Linked DNA regions of Mus musculus. The protein of the gene in region 1 purifies or fractionates together with the protein of each later gene. This does not show direct contact. Links are inferred from orthologs where the notes say so. Each region holds a gene or a part of one and is shown in the gene's direction. Other genes may lie near its edges.

What was found.
Region 2: the proteins of Ptpn12 (region 1) and Pstpip2 purify together in Homo sapiens (affinity purification with mass spectrometry; 4 studies listed by BioGRID and IntAct, counting the BioPlex papers as one, with this or other methods). This does not show direct contact. The link is inferred for Mus musculus from reciprocal best matches to the Homo sapiens genes PTPN12 and PSTPIP2.

The regions. Positions count from the first base shown.
Region 1 is NC_000071.6:21,052,732-21,057,731, reverse strand, and holds the start of Ptpn12 (tyrosine-protein phosphatase non-receptor type 12), read left to right. Parts: upstream 1-1,820; 5' UTR 1,821-1,984; coding exon 1,985-2,083; intron 2,084-5,000. UniProt on the Homo sapiens protein: Dephosphorylates a range of proteins, and thereby regulates cellular signaling cascades. Dephosphorylates cellular tyrosine kinases, such as ERBB2 and PTK2B/PYK2, and thereby regulates signaling via ERBB2 and PTK2B/PYK2.
Region 2 is NC_000084.6:77,792,639-77,797,782, forward strand, and holds the start of Pstpip2 (proline-serine-threonine phosphatase-interacting protein 2), read left to right. Parts: upstream 1-1,911; 5' UTR 1,912-2,079; coding exon 2,080-2,112; exon of another isoform or gene 2,113-2,309; intron 2,310-2,761; exon of another isoform or gene 2,762-2,898; intron 2,899-3,223; exon of another isoform or gene 3,224-3,752; intron 3,753-5,144. UniProt on the Homo sapiens protein: Binds to F-actin. May be involved in regulation of the actin cytoskeleton.

The DNA.
Region 1 (5,000 bases):
TAAATATATGTATTTATTTTATGTACTCATATACATAAATCTTTTTTAAAATATTTATTTTATGTACTCATATACATAAAATAGATCATATGGAAAAAATATGCCCTACAAAACACTAGGGCAAATGAGACCCAGCCTGTTACCCATGAGACTGCCAATAGTTGGTATAAAGCACACACGTATACTGTTTGCTAATCACTAACTGGTTTTTACATTCTTGGCTATATCAAAAGTGTAGGTGATCACTGTGGCCCATGTCTATGCTCCCAGCACTTGTGAGGCTGAGGCAGGAAGACAGCCATGCCAGCCTGGGTTACTGAGTGAGACCCTGGCTGAGAGAACCCAAAATATAGAGACATAAATAAAAGTTAAAGCATTTCTGCCATTTACCTATTTGTCCCCATCGAGCCTGAATCTTTTGCTTACATTCAGTGAAATTTAGCCTGTGTAGTGGGTTAAATTACTACAGACACTCCTTTCAAAAGTTTATTTTAGTATGGAAAGCATCTCTTGAAATGCTTTGAGAGAAGTGAGTTGGTACATATCAGATGCATTATTTCCTGTATTTTATTTTAAAGTGTAACTGTATATTGCTACTCACATGTGTTGTCTTCGATTTTCTTTTTAATTAAATTTCACAGTGCGGCCAAATATCGGTTTAGGAAATGTTTCCTGCATTGATATTTCCTATCTTAAGCATATTTCCTGGCAGCCTGTTCTGTGAAAACATGTTTTTTGTTTGTGGGTGTAGGTGACCAAAGTCAGTCCATGGATCAAATCCCTCAGTTGTGCAACTGTGTACTACTACAAACTCTCGTCCTTTCGAGAAAAAGTAAAAGTTAGAGTCAAAGTAAAAGAACCTGCGTTTTAGTTCTGACTCCACATGAACATGTTGGGGGGGTGAACTTTGGACAAATCATTTCTATTTATGAAAGGACAGATTGCATCAGCACGCTCTCTGTCTGCTAAGAGTCACAAATTCTATTCTACGAAAGAATGTCACCCATTCAACTCTGAAACCGTGAGAATTTAAAGATAGGAAGCAATATTGTCTTCCTCTTGGCAAAAAAAGGTGCAATGAGAAAGATGCATTACGAATTAAGAGCTTTCCCTCACTGGGATTAGAAAGATTGCGAAGAGTAAACCCTTTCACTCTGGAAACTATTGGCTTCTCCTAGCCAAAGTGCCAAAGCCTTGGGAGACCCTCACCAAGGCATTCGTAAAGCGAAGGTGAAGGCTCTACTACAGTTCCCAGCATACCTCTGTCCCACCCTGCTCCGGGCACTCCTGCAGGCGGGTCTTGTAGTCCCAGCCCGCGGCCGGCAGTAGCGCTGAAGCACTTTTGGAATCAGCTTTCCCTCCCCGCCAAACCCGGAGGCCGCAAGCCCCATCTGAAGTTTACTGTCTGACCCACTGGGCTTGGCCGGGCTTCCAGACGTAGGACGTCCACCAGAAGCCAGCCTCACCGCAGCGAGCGGCGAGCGCCCTAGGAGAGGGCCACGCCCCGGAAGCGGCTTCCAGCCACTCAGAGCGGGCGGGGGCGGGCCCGGGCGGGCGTGCGGGGGCGGCTGGGTCTTCGCTCTGGGGCGGGGCCGCCGTACGAGCCCGCGCGTCTGGGTGGCGGCGGGGGCGCGCCCGTGGGGAGAGGCGGCTGCGGCTGCTGGTGGGGGGTGGGGGGGGAGGCAGAACCGGGAAGGGGGCAGGGCGAACTGAGAGCCGTGTTCCTGAGGCGGCGGCGTCTCGGACTGAGGAGGGCGGGGAAGGAGGATGGGGCAGGCTGGGGGTTGGGGCCGGCGCTAGCCCGCGGCTCGCCTCGTAGTAGGGGAAAGCGACGCTGCTCTTTAAGTTGCGCGGGGAGCCCGGCCGGTGCCGCCGCAGCCGCAGCCGCCTGGCGCGGCGGGGAGGGAGGGCGGGCCGGAGCGAGCTGGGGAAGACGGAGCGGGCGCTGCGGCGCGCGGGCGGGCGGCGGGGGGGACGCGGGAGGATGGAGCAAGTGGAGATCCTGAGGAGGTTCATCCAGAGGGTCCAGGCCATGAAGAGTCCGGATCACAATGGGGAGGACAACTTCGCCCGGGACTTCATGGTGAGTGTCCGTTCTCGCCGGCGCCTCGTGTCGCCAGCCGCCGAGCTCCCCTCGCCTCTCCCGGTCGGTCGGGGCTGCCAGCGCTTTGTGTGCGGTGCGAGGACAGGCGCGGGGCGCGCGCCCAGCCGCGAGCGCCGTCGGCGAGCTTGCGGGAGGCGAGGTCACCCCCGCCCCTCAGCCTCTCTTTTCCGCGGCCGCTACCTGCGCTCCCCGGCCCAGCCCGCTCCGGCCCCGCCGCCCGCGACTACCTATTGTCTCCCCGGCCGGGCGGCGGCGGCTGGAGTGCGGGCTCGCCTTCCCACGCCTGCCTTCCCCGCCTGCCCCTCCGGGGAGGGTCGAGGCGAGCTGTCTGGCTGCGGCCAGCGGAGCGGCTCGAGGCTGCCGGAGAGCGAGGGTGTAGAGCATTAACTCGCTGGGTCCCTGTACGGATGCCGGCCTTGGTCCGAGTGGACGGCAGGACGACTCCGTGTCTGGGTTCACAGTTATTAGCTCAGCGCTTGCCAGAGGCTTGACCATAAGGAATCTCATGGTTTACCTGATCTCCATTTATCTGGTCAGGTTTCTTTTCGTCCTGAGACCCAGGTTTGAGGTGGCTGTGAGGCCAGTGTGACTTTAGATCGAAAAGGGAGGGGGATATCAGTGTGGATGGGGGTTATCCTGAAGGAAGCTCACTCCGGACTTGAGGGGATATTGCCGAAGCCGGAGGGGATGTGACTATCACTTCCTATCCGGGGTGGGGGTGGGGAAGCTGGGAACAATAGTCATGGTAGGGTGGAGGCGACTATATGGGCTGAAGCCCTGGGAGATAACCTTCCCGTCCCCCCTTTTCCGCCACCCCCCTTTCCGCCCTCTGCTTGTGTAGGCAGGCTTGAGTGAGTGGAGGTGGGGGTTAAAAGTCTAGTATGTGAAATTTCTCTAGGTGCATAATTGGAGAGAGGGTATCAATTCCGAAGGCGTGGGACCAGAAGCTGACTTCCTACATTACCCCCTCCTCGCTCCTTTTATTTTTCTGTTGGACAATGTTCCCTCTAGGGTTGTTTCCCGGCTTTGGAGGCGGTGGTTGCGGCTGCTGCTCCTACGGATGTTGCGCAAGACTGGGGCGTTGTAAACCCTGGAGGTCTGGGGAATGGAAAAGGAAATGGGACTTTGGGAAGTCCTTCGCTCTTTAGCGGGGGTTGGGAATAGCAAATGAACTAGGGAAAATTTTGCTCTGGACAAGGTGCACTTCTAAGAATAATCAGTTCATCTGAAATTTGGTTATGAAAAGCCATATGCAGTTGAGGTCTATAAAAATGAGTGGCTACGAAACATTTGCTAGTTTTTATTTAAAGTGCAAATGAAGTGATTTTTAGTACTGAAGTGGGTGTTCACATTTTAAAGAGATTTCTGTCTAGTAAAACTTTAGTGTTAAAATTGTTAATGGCTTGAAAAGTAGACTGTTAGCCTTGCACAGTATTAGTAGTATTGTGGGGTTTTGTGACTTCCACCTTGCAGTTTTATAAAAATAGAAAGTAGGAACAAGATACAGTGAGGACTGAAAATGTAGATCAAAGTCCAGTTATTCCTTATTTTAAACATTTTCTGATATTTAGATGATGTTTTGGAAAAAGTACTTTTCTTCTTACCATCGAATTTTGATGGTTAGTATCTGTTGAATGATATCATTTGCAAACATTGGAAAGAGCCCTCCTTTTACTACTCTATAGTAAATGTAGAAGAAAACAGTTCATTGAGGGTGTGTAGAACTAGTGGCTTGTCATAGAAGGGGCCTTGTGGCCCTGGCTGTTGGTCGAATGCTTGCTATCTTGCTGTCCTGGACATACTCTGTCAAGGATCATTGTTAGTGCAGGCCATCCGGACAGGTGCCCAGTCCCTGCACTTTTGGACAGGGGATCTAGTCTTGGGGTTCATGCTTTGGGGATGACTCAGGGATTCCTATTGGAGATGTCATGTCCAAGGACCAAATGTGTTCCCATTCTTCCATAATACCAAAGTATAGCTAGGTAGTTCTACATGAGAGATTTGATGACTAAGGCTATTATTCTTTTATAGGGCTTGCTTTTTTAATTTCCTAACTTGATAAGCAGTAGCTATAATTATGATTGTTGGCAGTTGCCTCTGTTTTTTTCCCTTGACTAGAAGGCTGGAAAGAACTGTCCTCTGTCATGGAAAGAGAATCAAAGATGATCACATAAATTCTAACTTTTGTTATTAAATTCTGAAGTGGATTTTAAAATCCATTTTAAAAAAGAGATGGTGACATTTTTGGAAAGTATGTCGACTGAAATCACTGTTGAAATGGTGTCACATGAAGCTGCCAGTCCACTGATGCCTGAACTATTTCATCATGTAAATAATTTCCATGCCTCCCTTTTATAATAAACGAATGATGCCTAAACTGACAGCCATTGTCTCTGACCTTTAGTTTCACTGAACTGTTACAAATATTTCCAAATAAAATGTTGTAAATGAAAAAAAAGAAAGAAATTAAAATCTTATGAAAATTCAGAATCAATAAAGATGATTAAGTGGATCTCCAAAAAGAAACACAGTCAACATCAAAATAAAATTAAAAGTCAAAAAAAAAAATCCATTTTAAAACCTTAACATTGTAGAACTGAGTCTTAAAAGGTAATATCACTATTATAACTATTTCATTATAAAGTAATAGTTTCAAAATTGCAAATTATAGAATATAATTATTAACAGTAATGATATAATTATAATGGTAATACTTTATATTTGGGTGATTGGATTGGGCATCCATACTGTGGCCCTATTTTAAGGATGGAGCTACTCCCATTCTCCCTATATCTATGTTTATAATAGGTCTATGTCACAATAAGTACATATATTTGCCTTTGTAAGTAGTTAGAAGTTTCTGTTTGTTTTGTTTCTGAGGGGCAGGGAGCTGAAC
Region 2 (5,144 bases), on another chromosome or scaffold:
AGCAACCACATGGTGGCTCACAACCATCTGTAATGGGATCTGATGCCCTCATCTGGTGTGTCTGAAGATAGCTACAGTGTACTCATATACATAAAATACACAAATAATTTAAAAATGCATTAAGATATTTGTCACAGACTTCCTCATGACTGTGGTGGCACATGCCCATAGTTCCAGCAACTTTGGAGACTGAGGCAGGAGAGTGGCTAATTCAAGATCTGTCTGGGCTACAGAGTGAGTTCAAGGCTGTCATGGGTAACTTAGTAAGGTCCTGTCTTAAATATAAGCAAGCAAGCAAGCAACAAAAACTTTCCACAAACAACACTGGGACAGGGGACCTGGATTAAATGTCCAGTTGAAGAGAGGAGAAGAGAGGAGAGGAGAGGAGAGGAGAGGAGAGGAGAGGAGAGGAGAGGAGAGGGGAGGGGAGGGGAGGGGAGGGGAGGGGAGATGAGGGAATGGGAAGGGAGAGAGAGAAAATGAAAAGACTGTGTCTTCAGGGCTCTGGCTTCCTGTAGCCCTCAGTGTCACTCGTACTCGTAGTCCACCCACATCTGCAGATGTAGCCAGGCTTCTCTGCCTTGAGTCTAACCTCACTGGTTTTTTTTTTTTTTTTTTTTAATTATATATATTTTACGTGTATGGGTGCTTTGCAGGCTTGTATGTCTGTGCACCACCTGCATGGCCTTGTTAGGAAAAACATACTAAGTGGGTGTCAGATTCCTTGGCTCTGGAGTTAGGGATTGCTGTTAGCTGCCATGCTGGGAATTGAACCCAAGTCCTCTGGAAAATCAGCCAGTGGCCCTAACCTCAGTGAAGAACCGGGTTGGTGAATGCATGTCCTTGGAGAGTAACAGGGCTGGGTGCTCTCGCGAATCCCTGTCGTTACAGATGATATAGGGCTCGGGAGTAGAGTTACTGAGCAGAAATCTTGTGAGCTCTTCTACTCATTCCACGATTGTCACGTGCTGTGCCGGGATCTAACTAGAATCTGCTGCACAGGTGAATGCTTGCTTTGGCATAACGGAGAACTAGCTCGATGCCAGTCTTGGCAACTTAACTTTCATTTTCTTCCCTATGAACACTTCTTACCCAGAAAGACACTGGCCCTGTTAGGAAGGACAGACTTCTAGCTTTGGTCTCTCCATCCCCTACATAACTGTGAATCTGAGCAATCTTTCAGCTATCTTGAGTTTCCGGCTGGACACTGGGCACATAGAACAAGTACTTTGTCTATTTCCAAACAAGAAGGAGTTTGATGCGCCCTGGAGTCCTATTTGGTTTGTCTGCTTATTAGGAAAGACCTCACACTGTAGCCCAGGCTGGGCTTAAACTCAGTCTTCTGTCTCAGCTTCCTCAGTACTGGGATTACAGGTGTGAGTCTCCGGTTTTCTCTCTGAAAAGAGTTGAAGCTCACAAGAGAGGGAGCAGAAAGCAGCCTGGCTTCTACTGCTAGGTGAGACAGGTGGTGAAGAAACCTTAACTGAGTTCAGATTAAGATATGCAAAGTTAAAAGGAAACATGGATAACGCATTTGAATTGGCATTTTAGACTAAAGCCTGCAATCCCCTCCGGGGCGGTGTGTGCACTCCATTCCTTGTAGCGATAGCAGCATAGGCGAAGGCATCTCCTAGGGTTTCTACTGATTCACAGTCTGAATTTCTAGGTCGGGAGGGCTTGATGGGAAGAGTCCAGTGGGCAGCCGAAGGGAGAAGGACCGGTTCTCTCAGTCGTTCAGACGTCCGGCAGGCTGTGGTTTGGACTGGCCACCGCCCTCCGCAGAGCTGCTGGACCGGCCGCGCCCTAGGGTCAGGGCGGGTGGCCCTCTGCAGGTGCGCGAAGCGGGCAAGCGGGCGGGCAGGCAGGCGGGGCGCGGGGCGGCGCAATCGGGCGTGGTTTAGGACCCGGGGCGGCTTCCCGGGGTGACAGTGGAACTCCAAAGTTGCGCTGGACCTTGGCCCTGACAGTCTGAGCTCTCGGCGCGATCCGGCCGTCCTCCCGCTGTCCTCCCGCTGTCCGCCGTCCTCAGCCGCCTTCCGTCCTCCGCTCCCAGCCCTGCGCTCACAACCCAGCGCCGGCATGACGGGCTCGCTGTTCAAGGGGAACTTCTGGGTAAGTCAGCGCGGCGCGGGGCGTCCCGGAGCGCACGCCGGAGCGAGCCCTGGGGCTGCCCCTCTCTGTCCCGAGAGTCCGCTCCCCGGAGCGCGCGCTCCCCGAAACACCTGGGCCCTGACGTCACCCGGCGTTCTCACGCTTGAAAACCGAAGCCCAAAAGGAGGCGCATTCCAGCCCGCGGGTGCCCCGAAGCCCTGGGAGAAACGGGATGGGGCGTGTGAGCAGTCGCTCTGGGGTTCTCGGCCCGAGCTTCACCCTGCCTGGCAGCCCCGCTTTCTGATTTCCCTCGCAGCCCACAGAGAACCCCAGGGAGGCCAGCGCGCGCGTGAGACCCGAGAACTGGTGCTGTCATAGCGGTGCGGGTCCTAGGTGGCAGGTCTTCTCTCACCTTTTACTTAGACATCCTTTTCGCACGCATTCCCATTACCCTACGACTACCCACCCTCCAAGGGACCATTTCCGCCTGAATTCGGAGGTAACACCTTCCTTTAAGACAGGGCAAGGAGCTGTCCACCTGAGAGTTGACCCACAGCGATAGAGGGGCTCAGCCTTTTTCTAGGACTCTGCTTGTTTCCCGGTTTAGCTTCAGAGCTGCCCACCACACCAATCTCCTGCCGTGAACCCAGTGGCAGTTAGAGCCTATCACCTCCCATTCGCTTGAGGTTTTGAGATCCTTCTGAGTCACTGACCATAAGGCGAAGGGCCGGGGTAGCATTACAGCAGGGTTAGTAACCTTACACTTGGTCCTCCTCGGAGACCTGGGAAATCTTGACACTTTTTACACTGTGGGGAAAAAAAAGGACAGACCTTTATGCAGTTCATAGTAGAGTGATTATTTTTTTGGGCTAACGATGGAGGTACAGAGACTTCAGATGATAGATAGTATGTGCGCACCATCCGGGGCGTGCCCGTTCTGGAACAGGCTCAATCAAAAGTGTCAAGGAAAAGACTGATGTGCCCTTCGGCTCTGGACATCTTAGCCTGAGTTTAGTTAAGAGCCCAGGACCCGTCTCCATCAGTCTCAGCACTCAGCAATAGGGGCTAGGCTTTCTTTCCTTCCCTCCAACTCTCCTTAAAAACCCCAGAGCCAGAAGTGTTGGTTACTCACACCTGAAATCCCAGCGTTGGCGAAGCTGAGCCATTGGCAGCCCCAGCTGTCCCACCTACTCTCTGGCAGGAGTGGTCAAGAGGAGGGGCAGAGTGGAGTTGAGTTGAGAGTCCTGTGGTAAAGGTCTTAGGAGCACCGGACCGCGGCCGCTGCTGCTGGTGTTGAGTTTTTGCTCTACTTTTCAAAAGTTACCTGAGATCCCGGAAACTGCAAGCGCCCTGTCCAGCTCCACAGTTCCAGCAGTTGTTCGATTCAAATAACGAGAAGGACCGCATTGTTTATTGTGCAGATTATTAGGTTCTTTAACTGCCTTCCCCACATTACTCCACCATGCCTCCCAGTCGCCCTCGGAGGGAACTGACTCACCATGATATTTTACCGATGGGGAAACTGGCAGGGAGTGAAGCAACATTCTCAAAGCCCTGGAGCTGACGAATCGTGGCCCAGAGCTCTGCATGAACTCAAGGCTCACCCAAGTGTCTCCAAGAGGGTGGCATGGAGCGAGCACACCCCAGTGAACGTCCCAATTGCTCTTTCCCAGTGCCTGCAGTGGGCGTGGGGCGTGTTGGGCCATCCTGTGGCTGTTTGCTGGAGTCTCCTTCCTGCTTCAGCTGGACCAGGAGGTCCTGAAGGGCAGACACGATTTTCCCACCAGCTGGGTCCTTAGCACCAGCTATGGCACGCGGATTGTGGATCCCTAGGTCCAGGTGGATAAGACAGGGGCAGGAGTGAAGATGCAGGACCTGGGAGAAAAGGGGCAGAGGGAGCTAGCTGTTGGAGAAGAACGGCTGCTCACCTTTAAGTAGCCATGCTCTCAGGGAGTAGGAGTCTTTTCACTGAGTTGATGCTGGTGACAGTGACAGGGAGGGATGAGAACATTGTGACTGGATGAAGAAAAAAAAATGTTGAAAGCATCAGCAGGCACTGGTTTCCCAGGTTTAATAAACTCGTAGGAAATACTTTCTGTATGGGAAGTGCTCTGGTAGGCCTGGCTTTTGCTGGGGTTAACCCTGTTGCAATCTTCCCTAGAATCCGAACATCTCCTGAGGAAGGGGAATCGAAAGGGGAGATTTTGACCTTAGGTGCTTGACCTTAAGAATACAGAAGAGGGCTGGCTGAGGCAGCAGAGTCTGAGGCAGGAGGATTAAGCGTTCAAGCCAGGTTGGGATATATAGCTGGACTCTGTCTCAAAACCTAAAACAAAGACTGTACTGGGTTTCGGGTGGGGTCTGGGGATGGGGAAGAGTTAGCAGGTGTTATGGAAACTGGACCAGGGAAGCCTATTCTGGGGTGGAGACCATGGAGTGGGAAAAGATGCAGATAGAGAAACTACAGAGATAAGAGCCAGTCCCAGGCCAGGGAAGTCAACGGAGGGTCACCAGCAGAAGGAAGGAGAGGGGCCTCAAGCTGGCTTCAGAAGGGGAACTGGAGATGAGTGGGCGTGTCCTGAAATAGGAAGTCAGCAGGAGGAAATGCCAAGTGGAGGCAGGAGGAGGGAGAAGTGACTGTCAACACTGTTTAGTCAGGTGCTGCACCTGCAGAGGCAGGTTAAGTACAAAGCTCCCCTCTGCCCCAGGCCTCACCCCAAGCTCCAGGCTAGGCTGATGGGTATGAGGACTTCCTGCCAGAGGAGGGTCCCCCCCCCCCCCCGCAACCCCCAGGGGAAAGCAAAGGGTGTCAGCTAGTAGAGTTTGGAAGCATTCTGATATCTTCACCATTGCAAACATATCGCCGAGTACTTTAATGTCAGCTGGGCAACAGCTTCCGGCTGGTGGGGATGGCTCTGTTCCATTGGAAAGGGTGTCCTGGGGAGACTGAATGGAACAGCATGAAGCACAAGAGTGTCTGTCCTCTGCCGTCAGTGGGGCCTCTGAGGCGAATGTGCCTTCACTGGTTTGGTGGCTTTGTCCAGGGTGCTTAA